Linked DNA regions of Xenopus tropicalis. The protein of the gene in region 2 purifies or fractionates together with the protein of the main gene of each other region. This does not show direct contact. Links are inferred from orthologs where the notes say so. Each region holds a gene or a part of one and is shown on either strand. Other genes may lie near its edges.

Region 1 (7,468 bases), on a different chromosome or scaffold from region 2:
ATTCTGTAATTTATGTGGACATTGTGTGCGCGACCCTCAAATAAGTCTATTAAACCTGCATAGTTTCCCACCAGACTAGTATCCAGTATCAACCAATCAGCAGGTAGCATTCATTTGTCGCCTGTTTGAAAGAATTATCTAATTGGTTTGAATGAGTTATTAGAACCGTTGCCCCTTTCTGACTATAACCCATACAAATGATTCTAATTTTCCTTCCTTACACGCATTAATGTCAACGAGTTCCCAGCATACAGCTAAAGAAGTCAGACACCCCTCCCCAGGGAATTCCACAGGGCACCTATGGTAATGGGACTCTTCTGCACTGGCACAGACATCATATTATTGCCTCATCTCTTTATAGAGGTCCGGATTAAAGTCTAGCAGATCTCTGTGCCTGTGGGTGTTCTGTTTCCGCTCGGCTCTGTACTCTTCCAGGCTGCTTGTGTCACAACTGATGTCAGCATTTTGGAAGTTTTAGTGCCATGTAGGGAAATCAGGGTAAAAAAGAACTGAGGCTCAGTGCTGACATCTTGTGGGCAGTCTGACAAATGCACCCAGCAATCAACAAAGACCTATAAAAAAAAATTAATTGTCTTTAGTTGAAAGAATCCAAGGGTTTGGTCAAATCTATGTCTCAGATTAAATCTTGGTACAATCTATGCATTCCCTCTATCTATTACCTAATGCTTGGGGGGCTGCAGTCCTGAATTTGATTTTCTGAATGTATTGTGAATGTGATATTAATCTTAGACTGCAAGCTCCACCGGGGCAGGGATTGATGTGAATGATGCCTAATCTCTGTAAAGTGCTGCATGATGGCACTATATAAAGGATAACTATTCTATGTTTTATTTTTATATGGTGCCAACTAATCACCTAGAGCTGGTTCATTATATCAGCCCCTGCCCCAGTAGAATTTATGGTCTAATTTCACATTCACACAGCAAGCACAATGGGACCCATTTAATCCAAAGCTAATTAACTGTCACGTGTCTAAATATCTATGCCATATTTAAATGCTCCGTGGGAAGGGGGCCTAGACCGCAGGGTCTGCTTCCTCTATCTATATATCTATAGGTCTAAGAAGCCCCCCTCCCCAGCCACTCTCTTACCTACTTAGCACAAGTGGCAGGGGAGCGGGGGACACAGGCCGTTGGGTGGAGGGAGGACCAGCTAGGTGCACACCTGGCCCCTCTGATGATTATCTATTGGCCTGTCTATCCATCATCTATCTATTCACTGGCATACCTATCTATTGGCCTGTCTGTCATCTATCTATCCACTGGCATATCTATCTATTGGCCTATCTGCCAACTATCTATCCACTGGCATATCTATCTATTGGCCTGTCTGCCAACTATCTACCCACTGGAATATCTATCTATTGGCCTATCTGCCAACTATCTATCCACTGGCATATCTATCTATTGGCCTGTCTGTCATCTATCTACCCACTGGCATATCTATCTATTGGCCTGTCTGTCATCTATCTACCCACGGGCATATCTATCTATTGGCCTATCTGCCAACTATCTATCCACTGGTATATCTATCTATTGGCCTATCTGTCATCTATCTATTGGCCTATCTGCCAACTATATATCCACTGGTATATCTATCTATTGGCCTATCTGCCAACTATCTATCCACTGGCATATCTATCTATTGGCCTCTCTGCCAACTATCTATCCACTGGCATATCTATCTATTGGCCTCTCTGCCAACTATCTATCCACTGGCATATCTATCTATTGGCCTGTCTGTCATCTATCTACCCACGGGCATATCTATCTATTGGCCTATCTGCCAACTATCTATCCACTGGTATATCTATCTATTGGCCTATCTGTCATCTATCTATTGGCCTATCTGCCAACTATCTATCCACTGGTATATCTATCTATTGGCCTATCTGCCAACTATCTATCCACTGGCATATCTATCTATTGGCCTCTCTGCCAACTATCTATCCACTGGCATATCTATTGGCCTCTCTGCCAACTATCTACCCACTGGCATATCTATCTATTGGCCTGTCTGTCATCTATGTACCCACTGGCATATCTATCTACTAGTCTATAATTCCCATTATATACCTATCTACCCCCTTCCATATTTAGCTATGTATGGCTCTGTCTATGTACTTCCAAATTCCTTACTTATCAGTGTGCCCTTCTCTCTACCCTATCCCCTGCTCTCTATCTGTAAATAGCAACACTAATACAGATGCCGGAGTGCGCAGGCGCAAGGCAGTCCCTCCGCTGAGTGAAGCAATGGAGGCCACTGGCAGAGGGAAGCGGCTGGATGTTCCGAGCAGGGTCGCAGTCAGATTCCCCGGGCAGCTTGGGAGCCACTCCCGGCATGCAGGGAAGAGCCGGGCTGCCCTTGGGGAGAGCGGAGGGTATTTCTCTGTGTGAGACCCGGAGCCCTACTAGTAGTAAAAGTACTAGAAAACTCCGCTGGTGAGAGGGAATTTCCAAGCCCCGCCTTCCGGTGTATAATAGCGCCATGCAGCCTGCCTGCCTCACTCACACGGACTGCTATGTACTGACTGCGCAGCCAGCTGTGCTCTGATTAGCGCCCCAGCCCGGATTGCTTGCGCCTGAGAGTGCTGATTGCCCCTTGGTACAATGTCCTCTATCAGTGATGGCAGCACAGATGCGCTGGTGGCCAGGTTCAAGGTGCTGGAAGAAACCGTGGATAAACTGCACAGGGAAAACAGGACACTGAAGAAAAAGGTGCAGAGCTACCATGTCCTCAACTCTTTCTATCATGAAGCCAAACAGGAGGTGAGCAGCCTCAAACAGAAACTCACTGCCAAGGAAAGTCTCATCCAGAAGCTGATGGCCAGCCAGGCTGCCCTGGGCACCGAGCCTCCGCCGCACGTCTCCTCCTCCAGGTCCTTAGTGGAGAGCTTGATGGACCAGTTGGCTTTAATGAAGAGCAGACTGAAGGAGACGGAGAGGACATGTGAGGAGAAGGTGGAATCCTTGAGCCAGGTAGCTATGCCCTCTGTGCATCTACTGGGACCTGTAGTGCCCACTATGGGCATGTCCAGCCTGCAGAACCACAGTGCCCGCTATGGGCATGTCCAGCTGCAGAACCACAGTGCCCGCTATGGGCATGTCCAGCCTGCAGAACCACAGTGCCCGCTATGGGCATGTCCAGCCTGCAGAACCACAGTGCCCGCTATGGGCTTGTCCAGCCTGCAGAACCACAGTGCCCGCTATGGACATGTCCAGCTGCAGAACCACAGTGCCCGCTATGGGCTTGTCCAGCCTGCAGAACCACAGTTCCCGCTATGGACATGTCCAGCTGCAGAACCACAGTGCTTACCATGGGCTTGTCCAGCTGCAGAACCACAGTGCCCGCTATGGGCTTGTCCAGCTGCAGAACCACAGTGCCCACTATGGGCTTGTCCAGCTGCAGAACCACAGTGCCCACTATGGGCTTGTCCAGCTGCAGAACCACAGTGCCCACTATGGGCTTGTCCAGCCTGCAGAACCACAGTGCCCGCTATGGGTTTGTCCAGCTGCAGAACCACAGTGCCCACTATGGGCTTGTCCAGCTGCAGAACCACAGTGCCCACTATGGGCTTGTCCAGCTGCAGAACCACAGTGCCCACTATGGGCTTGTCCAGCTGCAGAACCACAGTGCCCACTATGGGCTTGTCCAGCTGCAGAACCACAGTTCCCGCTATGGACATGTCCAGCTGCAGAACCACAGTGCTTACCATGGGCTTGTCCAGCTGCAGAACCACAGTGCCCGCTATGGGCTTGTCCAGCTGCAGAACCACAGTGCCCACCAGGGCTCAGGGGTGCTTGGGGTTCGTATTGGAGAACTGCTGGTTGGACCCCTTCGTTTACAGTGTTGTTACCTGCTGTCTTTTTTAACCTTGCTTCAGCCATGCAGAATTTTGAGGATATTTTACCCAGACAATAAGCCTGGCTTTGGTTTAAAGGGAATGTGATAGGCTGGGTATTCCCAGCAGCATTGTGCCCCTCAGATGTAAGTGACAGGGCTAGATGGTGTAGGTATTACGTGTTGTTAATATACTATAATCTCCTATCCCATCCCCTGGCTGTGCTCAGCAGGATGAACTATGTGACTATGCAGCATACGTACATTATAATATGTCAGCCTTATATGCGTGTAGCAGTTTTCAGTTCTGAACTCTGAGGGTGAAGACACACGGAGCTACTAGTAGCAGCTACTTGTCATGGCTACAAAATTAGACAATGCTGATCATTTACCAATAATTGTCTCTATATGTGTTTTAGCAGAGGCAATTCTCAGTATTGTCTATGGCAGGGGATTTTCTGGTGTTTAATTGCAATGACAAGTATCTGCTACTAATTAGCTCTGTGTGTCTTCACCCTAAGACATATTGTCCCAGGGAATTGTGGCTTCCAGAAGATCAGTTGATTTCTTAGAAGCAGTTTGGGAATATTTGTATCTTTCATTTTTACTTTCTGTTTGAGTAGCTCTTATATAGATCATTAATGTAAATCACTGTAATTAAACCCGTACGTGCTTTCCCAGGAGTCTCAGCCTCTCTATCCCGTAGTGTAGTCTCTCAGTACTTACTGTCTCCTCAAATAATAGTCATATTTTTAGTTCTATATTGTCATTCTTATATATTTACTGTACCATTCAGGGCACCCCTATTTTCTATTTATATATCCATTCATTTGATTTATTTTGGGCTCATGTGACTCACAGCTGAAGTATTTAGTATTTAGAGGGCACATGAGTGATATAAGGGAAACCTACTCATCGTAACTCGTGATAGACACAGCTGACAGGAATTTTTTTGGCAGTTATACAATGTTATTCCAGTTTGTCATACAAGCATTTTCCAACCAAAACAGCAGTTGTAAGTAGAAGAGAGTGGGAAGCTCAGTAGCAAAACACATATCAACATATGAACTGTACAGGCAGCACAGCACCTTCAGTAGCAGTTGGATAATAGCCTCTGGGAAGGGACTGTGGCTGTGGGATAGCAGGTATAGTAGGGAGAGATGGTGTCTATAGTAGCAGTGGGATAATAGCCTCTGGGAAGGGACTGGGGCTGTGGGATAGCAGGTATAGTAGGGAGAGATGGTGCCTATAGTGGCAGTGGGGGGATAATAGCCTCTGGGAAAGGACTGGGGCCGTGGGATAGCAGGTATAGTAGGGAGAGATGGTGCCTATAGTAGCAGTGGGGGGATAATAGCCTCTGGGAAAGGACTGGGGCCGTGGGATAGCAGGTATAGTAGGGAGAGATGGTGCCTATAGTAGCAGTGGGGGGATAATAGCCTCTGGGAAAGGACTGGGGCCGTGGGATAGCAGGTATAGTAGGGAGAGAGGTGCCTATAGTAGCAGTGGGGGGATAATAGCCTCTGGGAAAGGACTGGGGCCGTGGGATAGCAGGTATAGTAGGGAGAGATGGTGCCTATAGTAGCAGTGGGGGGATAATAGCCTCTGGGAAAGGACTGGGGCCGTGGGATAGCAGGTATAGTAGGGAGAGATGGTGCCTATAGTAGCAGTGGGGGGATAATAGCCTCTGGGAAGGGACTGGGGCTGTGGGATAGCAGGTATAGTAGGGAGAGATGGTGCCTATAGTAGCAGTGGGGGGATAATAGCCTCTGGGAAGGGACTGGGGCTGTGGGATAGCAGGTATAGTAGGGAGAGATGGTGCCTATAGTAGCAGTGGGGGGATAATAGCCTCTGGGAAGGGACTGGGGCTGTGGGATAGCAGGTATAGTAGGGAGAGATGGTGCCTATAGTAGCAGTGGGGGGATAATAGCCTCTGGGAAGGGACTGGGGCTGTGGGATAGCAGGTATAGTAGGGAGAGATGGTGCCTATAGTAGCAGTGGGGGGATAATAGCCTCTGGGAAGGGACTGGGGCTGTGGGATAGCAGGTATAGTAGGGAGAGAGGTGCCTATAGTAGCAGTGGGGGGATAATAGCCTCTGGGAAGGGACTGGGGCTGTGGGATAGCAGGTATAGTAGGGAGAGATGGTGCCTATAGTAGCAGTGGGGAGATAGTAGCCTCTGGGAAGGGACTGGGGCTGTGGGATAGCAGGTATAGTAGGGAGAGATGGTGCCTATAGTAGCAGTGGGGGGATAATAGCCTCTGGGAAGGGACTGGGGCTGTGGGATAGCAGGTATAGTAGGGAGAGATGGTGCCTATAGTAGCAGTGGGGGGATAATAGCCTCTGGGAAGGGACTGGGGCTGTGGGATAGCAGGTATAGTAGGGAGAGATGGTGCCTATAGTAGCAGTGGGGGGATAATAGCCTCTGGGAAGGGACTGGGGCTGTGGGATAGCAGGTATAGTAGGGAGAGATGGTGCCTATAGTAGCAGTGGAGGGATAATAGCCTCTGGGAAGGGACTGGGGCTGTGGGATAGCAGGTATAGTAGGGAGAGATGGTGCCTATAGTAGCAGTGGGGGGATAATAGCCTCTGGGAAGGGACTGGGGCTGTGGGATAGCAGGTATAGTAGGGAGAGATGGTACCTAGTGGGATGATAGCCTTTGGGCAGGGATCCCCAACCTTTCTTACTCGTGAGCCACAGTCGAATGTAAAAAGACTTGGGGAGCAACACAAGCACCATAAAAGTTCATGGAGGTGCCAAATAAGGGCTGTGATTGGCTATTAGGAAGCCTCTATGCACACTATCAGCTTACAGGGGCTTTATTTGGTAGTAAATCTTGTTTTTATTTAACCAAAGCTTGTTATGTTTATGTTTGAGCTTTTACCTACTATTGTTCCATTTCAGTGGTTTTTCCTAGTTGATTGGGTCATTGACTGTACTAATCAGAAGTTTACCCACTCTGCTAGAGAACTGCAAAAAAAACATAATTTCAGAACTACTGCAAAATGTTATATAATTATATAAGGCAGTAAACTAAGAATTACACTTGAGAATCCAAACCAGACAGTCTGTATTGTTCCAGGATAGAAACCCAAGACTTGCCCCCCGGTAGCTACGGCACGTGCAGCCTATTTTTTACCTCTAGGTGTTTTTGAATTGAAATGTGTTTTAAAGGCAGAACTCTTCTGTTTGCAGGAAATTACGAGGCTCCATCAGCAGCTGGAAGATAAGGATAAGCAGGTCCAGCAATACGCCAGCTGGCCTCAGCACGAGAAAGAACTGGAAATCTGCCGCCTTCAGCAGACGCTGGCCAATAAAGAGAGGGCTCAGGCCACCAGCGAAGTCCTGTGCCAGTCTTTGTCCGACGAAAGCCAACAACTCCGCCGCAAGCTGGCCGCCACCGCCGAAATGTGTCAGCACCTGGTCAAGTGTCTCGAAGATTCACAGAGAAATGTCCACCGGAACATGGAGGAGCTGGCACACACGGAAAGGCCCAGCAAGGTGAGAGAACAAATTCCAGTTAGGGAGGCATTGGGTCAAGAATTTGGTCCGACTTTGGTCACTGCCCCCAGTAGTGTTGCTCTGTGAGGCTACAATTTTATACTCATTG
Region 2 (7,520 bases):
CTATTTAGGATGAGTAGCTGCTCCAAAAAGGCTTTCCATCAGCAACAATAAAAGTCGCCGGTGGAAAGACCTTCGCATCACTCCGGTTTCTGCAGGAAACTTTGGGGACAAGGGGTAGCAGAAAATGTTGTGATACGCAAGTCCTGTCTGCAGCACAAAGTAACTGAGGGCTCAGCCTAAAGGCAGCAAGTGAACACTGCTAATCTATAGGTACTGTATATCTGCAAAGCACCCTGACAGTAGGGGGAGGCACAGGGCGAGTGCTTGGTGCACCAAAGCCTGGCTCTAAATTAAACATAACTCTTTAGCTCCTGTTCTTTGTCTCTACTAAAAGATGGATAAGAATTTAGCAAAACAACAAGTGTTAGGCTATGGGCACAAGGGTTCATTAGCACCTTTAGGGTGCAGTGCATTCCAAAGAAATGGCCCGGCCACACCTTGAATGCATAATAAATAGGTTTCCTTATTATTGACTGGAAAGATGGCAACTGGACTGCAGCCAGAAGCAAATTCAGAACTTACACAACATACTCAGATACTACACGTTGGGCAAACAGTTGCCCTACTCACAGCATAGGCATGTAGCTGTGCGTGTCAGGTGCAGATTTCATATGTTGACTGATTAATTGATTTTTTATTTTTAATATCAGCCTCAGGCAGTAGATAGCTGGGTCACTTACTTTGTACACTGTTTTTCAAATTATTCACAGACAGCCACAACAATATGTTCCCTAAGACAAAAGTTACCCTAAAGGTGGCCATACACTCACTGATATTATTGTATGAACCAATAATTGGTACTTGTATGGCAAGAGATGAGGCAACTGATACTGGCAAAGGGCTTGGATAACGCCCGTCTCGTCGACTGGCCTTTGCACTGGCAAACGTTTAGAGCTGAATCATCAGATAGGGGTAGAATCAGGGAAGGCCTTAGGCCAGTTGGACCTATTGGGCTCAATAAGGTCACGCATCCATGGGGACCCACACCAGGGAAATAAGCACATATAGCTTAACAATGATTGCCTTATAATGCTGCTATGTGTTCTGGGACATTAAACACAAAGTTGGCACTGCATTCATGCTGCTACCCCAGGGTACGCACTGTCTGTCACTGCGTATAGTGTGCCTGAGGGGTCAATAATCGCTGTCTCACACTGTATATAGTGTGCTTGGTGTGTCAGTGCCCAATGCTTGGGGGCCACATTGTGCCATGAAATGTTGGGGGGCCAATGGAACAAGAGAAACATAGGTGAAAATGTAGAGTTACATCATCAGTCACATTTGCCCACCCAATCCTGGAACCCTGTGCAAGCTGGCGACACCTTGTTTTGGGGGCCCTGCCAAAATGGTCCAAAATCTGTCTTCGGGGCTGAATCGGCAGAAGGAGGTAGAAATCCTATTGTTTCTACCACCTTATCTGCCGTTTCAGCCCTGAACGGTTAGTGGCGCATTGTACGATCTTTCGTGCGACTGGTGGTCGACCGAAAGATCTAAAATCGCCACGTGTGTGGCCACCTTTAGCCAGTCCTCATTCCCTGATGATTTGGTGCCCAAGAGGTTCTGCAGCAACGCTTGCCTTATCTTTCGGTGCCAGTGCTGACCCATATACGTAATACTCTAACGCCAGTACAGGTATGGGATCCCTTATCCGGAAACCCGTTATCCATAAACTCTGAATTGAGGAAAGCCCGTCTCTCATAGACTCCATTTTAATCAAATAATTCAAAATTTTAAAACTGATTTCCTTTCTCTCCTTGTAATTGATCCCAACTAAGATATAATTACCCCTTATTGGGGGCAGAACAGCCCTATTGGGTTTATTTAATGGTTAAATGATTCCCTTTTCTCTGTAATAATAAAACAGTACCTGTACTTGATCCCAACTAAGATATAATTACCCCTTATTGAAGGCAGAACAGCCCTATTGGGTTTATTTAATGGTTAAATGATTCCCTTTTCTCTGTAATAATAAAACAGAACCTGTACTTGATCCCAACTAAGATATAATTACCCCTTATTGGGGTAGAACAGTCCTATTGGGTTTATTTCATGGTTAAATGATTCCCTTTTCTCTGTAGTAATAAAACAGTACCTGTACTTGATCCCAACTAAGATATAATTACCCCTTATTGGGGCAGAACAGTCCTATTGGGTTTATTTAATGGTTAAATGATTCCCTTTTCTCTGTAATAATAAAACAGTACCTGTACTTGATCCCAACTAAGATATAATTACCCCTTATTGGGGCAGAACAGCCCTATTGGGTTTATTTAATGGTTAAATGATTCCCTTTTCTCTGTAATAATAAAACAGTACCTGTACTTGATCCCAACTAAGATATAATTACCCCTTATTGGGGGCAGAACAGCCCTATTGAGTTTATTTAATGGTTAAATGATTCCCTTTTCTCTGTAATAATAAAACAGTACCTGTACTTGATCCCAACTAAGATATAATTACCCCTTATTGAAGGCAGAACAGCCCTATTGGGTTTATTTAATGGTTAAATGATTCCCTTTTCTCTGTAATAATAAAACAGAACCTGTACTTGATCCCAACTAAGATATAATTACCCCTTATTGGGGCAGAACAGTCCTATTGGGTTTATTTCATGGTTAAATGATTCCCTTTTCTCTGTAGTAATAAAACAGTACCTGTACTTGATCCCAACTAAGATATAATTACCCCTTATTGGGGCAGAACAGTCCTATTGGGTTTATTTAATGGTTAAATGATTCCCTTTTCTCTGTAATAATAAAACAGTACCTGTACTTGATCCCAACTAAGATATACTTACCCCTTATTGGGGGCAGAACAGCCCTATTGGGTTTAATTAATGTTTTACTGATTTTAAAGATCCCTTATCTGGAATACCCTTGGTCCGGAGCATTCTGGATAATGGGTCCTATACCTGTACTACTCTCTCTGTAGCCCACCATATCCAGGGCTAAGAATTATAGTGCAACACCAGGCTATTTGTATGTGTCACTTGGTATCAGTGAATCCCCCCTGGGATGGAAGCTGCTCACTGGGAGTCGCTGAGGCTGCTGGGAGTTTCTGTGTGAGTGCAGCAGGCAGATAAGCGGCACAGAGAGTCTCCCCCGGGGATAAGCAAATGAGCAGCGGGGGTGTGGGGATTTCCTCCCTGGGGGACACAGCGAGAGTTACACTGAGAGCTGCCACACTGCTCCTCTCCCTGGCACTGGCGGGGTTAATAGAATCTCCTGCTTTTCTTGTTGTTTCTCATCATTTCCAGGAAGAGCCGTGCCGCCGCTCATGGAACCTCCCCGTTTTGGACTTTCCAGCCCTCAGTTCAGCAAGCGGCACAGTCGGAACATGGGAGCCGTGTGAGGCAGCGGCGGAGCCGGGACAGCCATGCCCGGGCACAAAGGTAGGAATGGGGCTGCGGCTGGCACTGTGGGGATGGCAGGGAGGACTCCTACACAACTCACAGAGACACCAGTTTCCATGGTAACGTTCTTCTCACTGGGTGCCAAGCTAATATATATGTTCTGAAGCTTTAGATACTGAGTTGCCCTTATGCCCACTATGGCCAGGCTGGATGAAATGGCTACTGTACAGGGGGGCACATATATTTTCTGTCAAAGTGGAGGCCAGTGGGGTAGTATTTTGGGGGGCCCTCACTGCCTGTAATGAGCTGCACCCCCAGCTGCTCCCTCACCCCCTGCACTCACTTGCATTAGGCAACACAGGGTGGCAGGGGTGCAAGGGGGAATGGTGGGGTTCCAGGCCCCCCAGTCCTGCCTTTACAGAGTCTGTTGTATGGTGTTAACAAAAAACATTTAACAAAAGACAAATCTATCAGTGTAGGCACCCAGCTCTCTGCAGTCTCTGACCAGTGGAATCAGTCATGTGCACTGGAGCTGCTGGAACAGTTCTGTTTTTGTTCCAACCTTTCTCCACCCAACAGGCTGTTGGATTAGTAAATGGTACTTTCTAAAGTGATTAATGTAGCTCCTTTATGTAGCTCTGCTCTATCAATGCAGAAGGAACGCTGAGTAGCTACGTGGGGTGCTATAACAGTTAGGAATCGTAAGAGACCATCTTTATATCCGTGTCCTTCTAATAGCTGCTGGGTCTGGCTTCAGACCTGCTTGATCCTGTATATTGTACTGATGGTTGCAGTTTGAACCCACACATAAACCCCCTGTGCATTCAGTGGGAGGGGGATGAGGATAAGAGCTTGTACAGGTATAGGACCCGTTATCCAGAATGCTCGGGACCAAGGGTATTCCGGATAAGGGGCCTTTCCGTAATTTGGAAAATTTGGAAAAAATCAACAAAACATTAATTAAACCCAATTGGATTGTTTTGTATCCAATAAGGATTATTTATATCTTAGTTGGGATCAATTACAAGGTACTGTTTTATTAATACAGAGAAAAAAGAAATCAGTTATAAAATTCTGAAATATTTAATTAAAATGGAGTCCATGGGAGACAGGCTTTCTGTAATTCGGAGCTTTCTGGATAACGGGTTTCCGGATAAGGGATCCCATAATTGTATTCTATTGTATATTATACCTGGTGTAAACCAAAGATCCCATGCATACCCTCAGTCCTAAGCTGAGCTCTGTATGTGCATTAATATGTGCCCCACCACAATACACTGAGTTACCTAGCAATGTCAGAAGTAATGCAAGTTGGGTTGGTACCATTTTTGGACAGTGTGAAATATGTTATTTCTGCAGCCTCATACACCTAACCTTTAGTGGTTCCCAAACTGTGGGCTGCCCCCCCCAGGTGGCTCAGGGTCTTGCCCGGGGACCCAGGGTGAAGGACAGTTAGGGTGAGTTTTAGTGTGTGCTTATTTGCTATGTTAGATATTCTAGAATTTATGGCTGATTTAGCAATCTTTTCATATGTCTGTGGCCTTGTAATGAGCTAAGGGTGCCCTGGATTGATGATGCACTCTAACGAGGGGTTTGAACTGAATAATGCTGAAAACCACTTCTCTTGGACCATGTGCACTTTTATTCTAGGATGGTGCCTGTTTATCCACCTGTTCTAGGCTCAGAGGTTACGTGACGCCATTTATAGATGCACATTCCTTGTATCTTGCTTGCCCAAACATTGCTCTTTTGCTGCTCAGTAGGTGGCCCGTGCTCAGAAGGTGGCTCAAAGGCATTAAAGTGCAAAATACTCAAACAAATGAGAGTAACAGGTTATATACTGCGGGGTACAAGGTTAAGGCCCCATGACTGTCAGCCTGCCAGTTTATACCCAGGCTAACAATCTGCCCTACTGCACTGTAAATAAACAAATTGCAATTGCAAGTCTACTGGTTCTGACTTTAGGAACAATGTGGCAGAAGATGGCCAGACATACAGTTTCAATAAAATGTATATAACATTAAAACTATTGAAAATATGTAATGAATGTGTATTGGAAAGTATTACATTTTCTAGTTTATTTTTGGATTTTCCCCTCCCCTTTAATCTTTGTTATTTTCTTTGGAAGTATGAGTGTTGGAAACTGGGAAAGTCCTTGTTTTCTGCTTCCCTGGTGCAGTTCTTTGTCTGCGCCGATCCTTGTAGGGCTGGATGGAAAGTAAATAACTTGCATATTTTCGTTTCACTATAATGCAAGTGCTGAGATATTTATAGTGATTTCCTCAGTGGTTAAGCCCCTGGTCTGTCACATGTCTTTTGGTCTGATAAAGCATGAGTTCAGTCCATCGGGCAATCCCTTGTTGCATTGGTCAATACAGTTTGTCTGTGTTTATATATGATAAGTGGCTGTTTGTATTAGAAACAGTGCATACTGTGTGTGCGTGCTTGAGATTGTTATGGCTCAGCTGCAGTAAGTATTGCCATGTGGAAGCCATGAAGCTATCACTTCTGGATCATAAGACCTTCCATTCAAACGTATCATGTGAGCTTATTGTTTGTACATTTAGGGGTGTACCAATACACACAGTAGAGGTGGTGACAGGCCCAAGTGAGGCCTTTATTTAAAGGAGAAAGAAAGTTGAAATTAGGGGTGCCAAATATTAGCCACCCCCAGTCATTAATCACTTACCTGATACCTCAGTGCTCCTGTTAGCAGAAAACTGCACTGAGCTGGGGTACTTCTGTGGGAATACCACTCAGGGACCTTCTTCGGAATCTTCTCACCAGGCACGCATGTGCAGTAGAGTGAAAAACTTAAACTTTAAAGGAGAACTAAACCTTGAAAATCTCAGTCGCAGCAATAATGCAGGACTTCAAACTTGTCACTTGGAAAGTATTTGCTATACTCACATGCTCAGTGGGCTCTGGCCAGTTGTTGAGAAGCTAAGCTTAAGGTGGCCATACACGTGAAGATCCGCTTGCTTGTCGAGTTCGCCAAGCGAGAGGATCTTCACCCGGTATCCCCACCTACGGGTGGGCAATATCAGGGAACATGTAGGTTAATTTGATCGTTTGGCCCCAATAGCGGCAATGGGGCAGTCGATTCCGGGACCTCATCAATGAGCCGATGGGGTCACCGATCTGACTACATCTTTTAACTTGCCAGATCGATATCTGGCCAATTTGGCCTGTGTATGGCCACCTTTAGGGGTAGATGCAAATTATGAAGCAGAGAATGAGGTTGGCCTGTCATATAAGCTGATGCTACAGGGCTGATTATTAAATTATAAAGCTAATTATCTGTATTTATTACTAATCAGACATATATAGTGACATTTATATTCTATATATACAGTATATTGTATATATCCCGGCCGACTCCTTCGTTCCTCGCAGAGCAATCGTTTGGTTGCGCCCCCCACTACTACTGCGGTTTCCCGCCTTAAACCTTTCTGCCTGGCTGCCCCCTACATTTGGAATGCCCTCCCCGATTTCCTCCGGAGAGAATCCTCCCCCAGTCTTTTTAAAACTAAGGTTAAAGACTACCTTTTGGAGCACTCGCCCATCACCTGATCTGGGAACTGGCACTTATATTGTAATGTCACCCACTGTGACCTACAGCACTTATATTTGCCTATTTGTGTCTGTTAGTTACCCCTCCCATATAGATTGTAAGCTCTACGGGGCAGGGACCTCCTTCCTCTTGTGTCCTTGACTCTTAACTTATTGCTGCTGTATATATCTGTATTTATTATTATACTTTGTATTTATCTATTATCTTATTAACACCGTTTGTATTAATGTATTCTACTGTACAGCGCTGCGTACATAAGTAGCGCTTTATAAATAAAGATATACATACATACATACATACATATTGTGAGCGGGTCCCTAAGCTCAGGTAAGTGCCAGCAGCACAGAGCAGGGAATCAGCAGAAAAGAAGATGGGGGGCTACTGGGGGCATCTTTGGGGGCACAGATCTTCCCTGCTAAAGGGCTGTGGTTGCCTTGGGCTGGTACGGAATCACAAAAAATAATGTACAACATTTCTACCCTACTTCTTTAGTTAGGCTTTAGTTCTCCTTTAAGCAAGAACCCAGCCTTTTCACTCTGCTGTGCATGTGTTGGCGTAGGGCAACAGAAAAATGGATTGCTCTGTGGTGCTTGC
Region 3 (7,786 bases), on a different chromosome or scaffold from region 2:
TACTCTAGAGCAATTTTAGACCTGATGGTGTACAGCAGTGATCCCCAACCAGTAGCTCATGAGCAACATGCCAACCTCTTGAATGCTGCTCCCAGTGGCCTCAAACCAGGTGCCTATTTTTACATTTCTGGTTAGGAGGCAAGTGCTGATTGCATAAAAACCCAATGTACTTCCAAACAGAGCCTTTTTGGGGGGCTGCCAGTCCACATAGGAGAAAGAAAGGCTAATAAAGAGTTAATCTCAAGCTGCAGGCATACCTTCAGTGACCTTAAGTCTCCCCATATTTCTCCCATTCAGATGATCAGAAGCCTCACAGGAAAAAAAAAAAACACTGAGCTCTGTAAAGAAAGTTCCCATAATGCCTCACTCCTGCACCAAGACCGGTGTACATGGCAGTTTGTAAAACTATGAGGACGCTTCCTGCCGATTGGCTCAGATCCACATTCCTAAGGCGGGGGAGTGAGTTCTTAGCATTCTTGAGGGAGGGGGAGCAGGAGAGGGGAAAGAGGAGAGAGCTGTGTGTCTCTGGCACAGGAAAACGGACACAACAAATCTTTTGATAGAGAACTCAGTGCAGTGTTTCTGTGAGTGCTTATGGCTGTATTTACATAGACCTTTCTGATAAAGCTTACTTAGTTTTTACCTTTTCTTCTCCTTTAATGCTTGTGTTGCTCCCCAACACTTTTTTCATTTGAATGTGGCTCATGGGTATAAAAGGTTGGGGATCCCTGGTGTACAGAAAGGATAAACAATTGCATGCCTGTATTTGCTCTATGCCAATAATAACACTTTGATTCGCTATACTAGTACTTATCCCAAGCATGTTTTGAATCATGTCCAAAAACAAAGATGCTACGCACTGTTCAAACTGATGGGGAACAGTGGAAGCCAAAACAGACCCTTTGTTCCCTTTTACTGATCCTTATGTTATACAATGACAACTGGCCTAGTTGATGCAAAGAAAGCTGTGACAGACCCTCATGTAAAGACTGCCCAAATAAGAATTCTGGTGCTGAGGTGTGCCCATCACTGCCCCATGAGTTCAAACAGGGTGCTTGTCATTATGTAACATTAAAGAAACTCCAAAGGATGTTTCCTTGGTGCTTCATATATTGTGGCAAGACATCCAAGGCAACTGAAAGAATGCATTATGACACACAGAGCCATCTATACAAAAACCGTTCCAAGCAAAGAACACAAGAACAGGTTATGTGAGGTTAAGGCTCATGGCCAACCATTCTTTTTCTCCGTCAGCCTGAAGTTTATGTTTTTTTGTTTTTGACAACTAAAAGCCTGTATTCACTTGAAAAGGCATAAACATTTTTGCATGGTCCCCTCTGTGTGAAAAAGTGACTCATCTACTACTGATTCACAATCTAGTGGTAGCACTAGCTAGACACACCTACAGATAAGGATAAGGTCAAAACAGCTGATGCTGCAGTTGTTAGCAAATAAAAACCTTTGTGGGGGCCTCTTTGTAATTATTAGCCTGTGAGGTACCGGGAGACAATGTAGGCACCACTAACTTATAGAATGTTTCATTTTCTACGGGATATGATCACTACACACACCTTTGCTGAGCAATTTAAGGTCCAATATCCCATTATTGGATATTACTCTAGCAGTGATACATTTTCTTTTTTAACAATGTCCACAAACCATTACCAACTATTATTCTGCTGTCAGCCTGCATATAAGCAAGCTTTAATATTTTCAGAAGTGTAAACCCCTAAGATAAATATTTGTACAGAGAAGTTTTCAACGGGTTTTCAAAATTACAATAGTATTCTATGTTGTATACCCCAAATAATAGTTATTGCAGTTGAGTTTAGACGCAGCATCTTTTTGTGTTTAATGTTTATAGGACAGTAGAAAATGCTAATCTGGCAATAATGTAAATAGCCAGTGGGAAAACAAAACTCTGGACTACTTCAGAACCAAAGCAATATATATACATGTTTTTCCAACCAGCGATTTACATTTCTGCTGGTGGGAAAGCCTTTTCAAGAGATTAGTTGCCCACTGGAGACCAGATTTTAAACAGGTGGCTAATCTTCACATGTGCCATCACCCTTAAAAAACTGAATATTTTTTTTGCCTTGAGTATTTTTGTTTTGTGGTGTATTGTCCAACATAGGTCAATCCTTAGGCGATACAGTTCTCAAAAATTCCGAAGATACACTTTCTGTCATTCTGACCAAAATGGCAACAATCTGCACTTTTTTCAACAATGAAACCTTGTAGTAGAACTGCAGCTGTAGTCAGACTAGTCAAATCAGAATTAAACTAGACAGAGTTATAGCTGGAAAAAGTAAATCACTTTTTTCCAAAACTAATTGGAGTCAACTCAGTGCAAAGTTACTTTAATTGTAATTACTACTGAAAGAAATGTTTGTTTAGCCTTTTATTCTCTGGTTCTGATTCTTGACACAATGAAGCAGAAGTCCAGAGCAGTCAAGTCCCCTGGATTAATCGCGAGTGTCCCGAAAATGCAGCCTAGCCCCCAGTCTCAAGATGGCCTTTAATACCTCCCAAAATGCACAGGCACATTGAGCATTCCATGATGTCACATGAATTTTGCGCATGTGCAATCAGTGAGGGACTGGGACCCCAGGGGCCCACCAGGAAACCTTAAATCATAGGCCCACTCTCCAAACTATTTTTCCCCCCTTTGCTCAATCAACCTCATTATTCTCCTAGTCTCTTTTATTAACATGCTAGCATCTATTTCTCCATCTATTTCTCCCCTTTGTTCCCATTCAAAAATAGGGAATGGCCACAAAGTAGACCAAATGGCCAGGAGCAGGAGGGCCCACTGACACCTGGGCCCACCGGGAGTTTCCCTGGAATCCTGGTGGGCCAGTCTGACACTGTGCGGGATGATGTCAAACACCACCTGCCTATAGGACATCGGCAGCGCGTTCTGTGCACCACAATGATCCCCTGGGAGACACTCTCCTGGAGTTGACAGCCCTGGAAGTTAGTTCCCCTCCGTGTCTGTTAATCAGCAGGCTTTTGCTACACTGTCTCATAAGTTGACTCCAGTAGTGCAGAGAATATAAACAGATAATACTTCAAATAGCAATAAAATAACTTTAAAACAATTGCCAGTTTTTATGTAAGGTATACTAAAAGGTTGTTTAGAATTAAATTCTGTTACATTGTTAAAAAAAATGTTTTGGGTGGAGCTGCTTTCTGAAGTGTGTGTTTGAATATAATAATGGATATATGTTCCCTTTTTAAAGAAGAACTACAGCTTAACTAAAGTAGTAGGCTAAAACATTTGTACATTATATTTGGGGCTTCTGTACCAGCCCAAGGCAACCACAGCCCTTTAGCAAGGAAAATCTGTGCCCCCCAAAAATGTCCCCATTAGCCCCCATCTTATTTTCTGCTGATTCGCTGCCCATGCTCTGTGCTGCTGTCACTTACCTGAGCTTAGGGACTGACTCACAATATACTGTATATATTGAATATAAATGTCCCAATACTAGGCTGATTGGAAATATTTCTGATAATGTGTGCTTATCAGCTCTGCAGCCAGTGCAATTAGCATCATAAATGAATAATTAGCCCTGCAGCATAAGCTTATAGTTCAGCTCAACCTAATTTTCTGCTTAATAATTTGCTACGTCCCCTAAGCCTGAGCATGTGAGTGTCACAGACACTTCTAACAGATTCCAGGAACGTTCAATAAGTTCACTATATAAAATATGGCATTTCTAATCAAATTCATTTTTAGGATTTAGTTCCCCCTAAACCAGTAGGTATGGGACCTGTTATCCAGAATGCTCAAGAGTTTTCCAGATAAGTGGTCTTTCTATAATTCGGATCACCATACTTTAAGGTGCCATGTAGTGATCTTTTGCTTCTTCTTTACACCACTGCCCCTGACCAGTGCAGGCGAGTGAAAAAGTTGACTTTTTGCTTAAAGTTCAACTTATCACTCTACTGTGCATGTACACCTGTCAATAGGAAGGAAGAAGCAATAAAGACTGTGAGAAAACACTCATACAGAAGTACCCAAGGCCGGTGCAGTTTTCTGCTAACAGGAGCACCAGCAGGTTATCAGGTGAGAAATTATAATCACTGAGGGGTGCCTAAAACATGACAGCACTATGCTCAGTTTATAAGGATATTATTTACAGGATATTCATGGCTCGTGTATTATATCCATATGGTGGTCAGTGATGTCATCAGTTATAATCAATGCTTAGTGATGTCATTTGTATTACATGATTCACTGAAACTTGTATATTGTAAGTATGAATTCTATGGAACTCAGGGACTTAAAACAGCCTTATATTTTACAACAGGTTGCACATTATTCAAAATATAAAGGCAATATGTGATGTTATTGGTTATAATCAGTGCATGGAAATTTCAGATATAAGACTGAGAGCTTTAACAAAGCATTTAAGCAATAAATGTTTTCTGAAACTTAGCCTAGAATCTGTAGGCTGCTGTAGGGACACAGGCTGTACATTAGCGATCCCGGTGCTGTGAGTCTAGCGGAACCCATTCCCAATCCATGAACAAAGTAACCCAAAATCTTTAAGCACTGGCCCCCCCGTATCGTCACACACGTCCGTACTGAGATTGATTAAATAAGGAAACATGAGCCAGCCTCCCGCGCGTTTATGACTATTGGGCGATCAGAGCCGCGTACAAACGCACGGCAGCTAAACGCCACTAGGCCGGTCGGTACTAATACGAAAACGGGGGAAATTCGCGATTCCGGAATAATTCTTACCCTCCATGTCCAATGCTGGCCTTTTACAGGGGCTAGCTGCCCTTGCAGTTCCAGAAATGTATAAGATATATTCGCCACCAGTACTCTTTACTTCTCCACTCCACTGTTTCACTATCCCTCTTCTTCTTCCTTCCCTAACAGATATCCGCCCCTTCTACACATTGCTACACATTGCTAGACAATCCCTGGCATAGTCTGCGGAAATACCCAAATGACGTAAGGCGAGGAACGCCCTGGCAAATGCGCATGCGCTAAGTTCACAGGTTTAGGCTTTGCCCTAGAGTTTTGTCCAATAAGTGAGACCTGTAGAAGTTATTACCGTACAGACGCATATACGTAGCAATAAAAGGGTGGAGTCAATGGAAGAAGGGGGCGGGCGACTTAAGGGACGAGTGAAAAGTACATTGCTTTTCATGACGCGCAAACAAAAAGTTTGTTTTGTTGTTGTAGTCGGGAAAAAAAGTTTGTCAGGTTGATGGCATCGTGTTGGGAGCCATTTTATACACATGGTTATTAGGAGACATAAAGCTATCAAATCTCTAATTAGGAGTCTAATTCGCCTCAATTTCTATCTTCTACCCAATTTCCTGACTGTTGTCGGAAATGTCCATTGTGCGGTTGTTGCATTGTAGCCTCCACTGACCCGGGTGTGGGGGCAACAAAAGGGACGTTCTGCGATTATTACTCTTTAGTATTCTCTCAAAAGTGAGGAGAGCAGTCTGGCTCCATGGAACGCATGCCTTAGGTTTCGGGCATTATTCCTTAGTGGGTTTAGGGGCTCGGCCAATGTAAGAGCCTTAGCGCTACACTGCGAACTCCCATTGGTTCTGCTTTCAGCTGCGTAGTTTGTACTTGGCTAATGTAGCGCTGCTGCTTTAGCGCTACGATGCGTATGTGCGCTGTAGCCCATGAGTGACTAAATGTGCCGGGCAGCAAACATGTGGCCTCTGTACATCTATAGAGGGACAGGGTGCACACATGTTTAACTCATATACATATTCTCTTACTCACTGGGCATTTCCTCTGAATAATGTATGAAATACAGGCCTGTATAATATAATATATGGCACCCCTTGTACTACAATTATTTTATTGGTAAAATAACAAATATATAGAGATTTACTCTTTTATTGCGCTGTGTTTTGCGCCTTATGTAAGGTGGCCGGTTAGCTCAGTTGGTTAGAGCGTGGTGCTAATAACGCCAAGGTCGCGGGTTCGATCCCCGTACGGGCCACACACCTTTTCCTAGTATTTAAAACAAACTTTAAACTGCTTTAGTTGCTGTGTAGCATTAAATATATAAATGAAAAGTAATGTGATTTTTTTTTTCCGGGGGGGGGGGGGGGGGGGGGTATATATAAATAATTAATATAAATGTACACTGGCCAGGGGTATGGTTCCTGCCATCCGGAATCTTCCAACACACCAGAGATCCGCTAACATGCACAGTAGAGCAAGTTTTATGGCTTTAAGGGTGAAGATACAAGGGGCAATTAGTAGTCGTGGTGACTAATCCGTGCAGCGAAAATGCTTTAGTGTCTTAATTAAAAGTTGTAGCGACTTATCGCCCCGTGTATCTTCACCCTAAGTCCCAATGTTTTCTCTACTGTAAGTTTTCTTTGGTCGGTGGGTCCCTCCTCGAAAAAGTTAAGGTGGCCACACACGTGGCGATTTGTGATCTTTCGTGCGACCATCGGTCGCACGAAAGATCGTTAAATCCGCCACTAACGTTCAGGGCTGAAACGGCAGATAAGGAGGTAGAAACAATAGGATTTCTACCTCCTGCCGATTCAGCCCTGACGGCAGATTTTGCTCAGGCGCCCGATCAAAATCTTTTAACCTGGCCGATCGGCGAGTCGACCGATATCAGCAGCTTCCTGCGATATCGGTCGACTCGCCGACTTGCCATACACGCACCGAATATCATATGAAACTATGTTTCGTACAATATTATCGGTGCGTGTATGGCCATCTTGAGCCACCTGCCAATGTATGCACTCAAATTGATACAGTAATCTTAGTGCCAGAGATATCCTAAAGCAGAGCTGTCCAACTGGCGTCCCGCAGCCCCCTCTGTGTGGCCCCCCACCTGTCTGGCTGCTTACCTTTGTGTAAGCTTTAAATGGTATCGGTACTGAGATTAACTGCCCCTCACACCTGAGATTCAGGCTGTAAACCCCTGTATTGTTTAAACATGTAATCCCCTGTACTGTTCACACATTAAAATCCCTGCATTGTTCATCTCCTGCATTGTTCACACCTCAGGGCCAGACTGTAAGCCCCCACATTGTTCACCTGTTCACACCTCAGACTGTAGGAGCAGTGCCAGCATTGTGTCACTGTATGTACAGTACCTAGCATAGGGCAGACAGAGTATGGCACACACAGGCAGGGTAGTGTAAGGCAGGCAGAGTATGGTACACACAGACAATACTCTGCCTGTGCATAATTTAGAATCTTCTTATCAGTTTCAAATGATACAGATGTAAAATCTAGTGCAATTGAAGGTTCCTCCATTTGTCTCTATGAGCTACCAATCATCTCATACAGGAACAATAACAACAAAATATTTAGAGGTATTGTATGTATTTCATTATAAAGTAGTGCTATTTAGTACTGGTGTGTTTACTTCAGAAGTTACAAAATTAAGGCACTGTGTTGCCATTGGGGCAACCATTCAAGTTCAATAAGGCTAAGGGGGACATTTATTAATGCATGAATGCTCTGAGCGTATTTTCTGCGACAATTTTGTACCTTGCGCAACAATTTCGTACCTTGCGACAAAATTTGTGCGACAAAATCGTATTGTCATGCCGAGTACGAAAGTTTCGGATTCATTCAAGCTTCGGTATCGTAACTTTCCTTGGGCCAGGTTGGAGCTGCAGAGTGCCATTGAGTCCTATGGGAGACTTTCCTTGGGCCAGGTTGGAGCTGCAGAGTGCCATTGAGTCCTATGGGAGACTTTCCTTGGGCCAGGTTGGAGCTGCAGAGTGCCATTGAGCCCTATGGGAGACTTTCCTTGGGCCAGGTTGG

What was found.
Region 1: the proteins of map3k8 (region 2) and tnip2 purify together in Homo sapiens (affinity purification with mass spectrometry; 3 studies listed by BioGRID and IntAct, with this or other methods). This does not show direct contact. The link is inferred for Xenopus tropicalis from reciprocal best matches to the Homo sapiens genes MAP3K8 and TNIP2.
Region 3: the proteins of map3k8 (region 2) and rela purify together in Homo sapiens (affinity purification with mass spectrometry; 5 studies listed by BioGRID and IntAct, with this or other methods). This does not show direct contact. The link is inferred for Xenopus tropicalis from reciprocal best matches to the Homo sapiens genes MAP3K8 and RELA.

Annotation. Positions count from the first base shown.
Region 1 is NC_030677.2:21,861,949-21,869,416, reverse strand, and holds the start of tnip2 (TNFAIP3-interacting protein 2), read left to right. Parts: upstream 1-2,251; 5' UTR 2,252-2,630; coding exon 2,631-2,999; intron 3,000-7,053; coding exon 7,054-7,359; intron 7,360-7,468. UniProt on the Homo sapiens protein: Inhibits NF-kappa-B activation by blocking the interaction of RIPK1 with its downstream effector NEMO/IKBKG.
Region 2 is NC_030682.2:23,821,755-23,829,274, forward strand, and holds the start of map3k8 (mitogen-activated protein kinase kinase kinase 8), read left to right. Parts: upstream 1-3,033; 5' UTR 3,034-3,375; coding exon 3,376-3,391; intron 3,392-7,520.
Region 3 is NC_030680.2:38,455,196-38,462,981, reverse strand, and holds the start of rela (transcription factor p65), read right to left. Parts: upstream 4,932-7,786; 5' UTR 4,761-4,931; coding exon 4,754-4,760; intron 1-4,753. UniProt on the Homo sapiens protein: NF-kappa-B is a pleiotropic transcription factor present in almost all cell types and is the endpoint of a series of signal transduction events that are initiated by a vast array of stimuli related to many biological processes such as inflammation, immunity, differentiation, cell growth, tumorigenesis and apoptosis.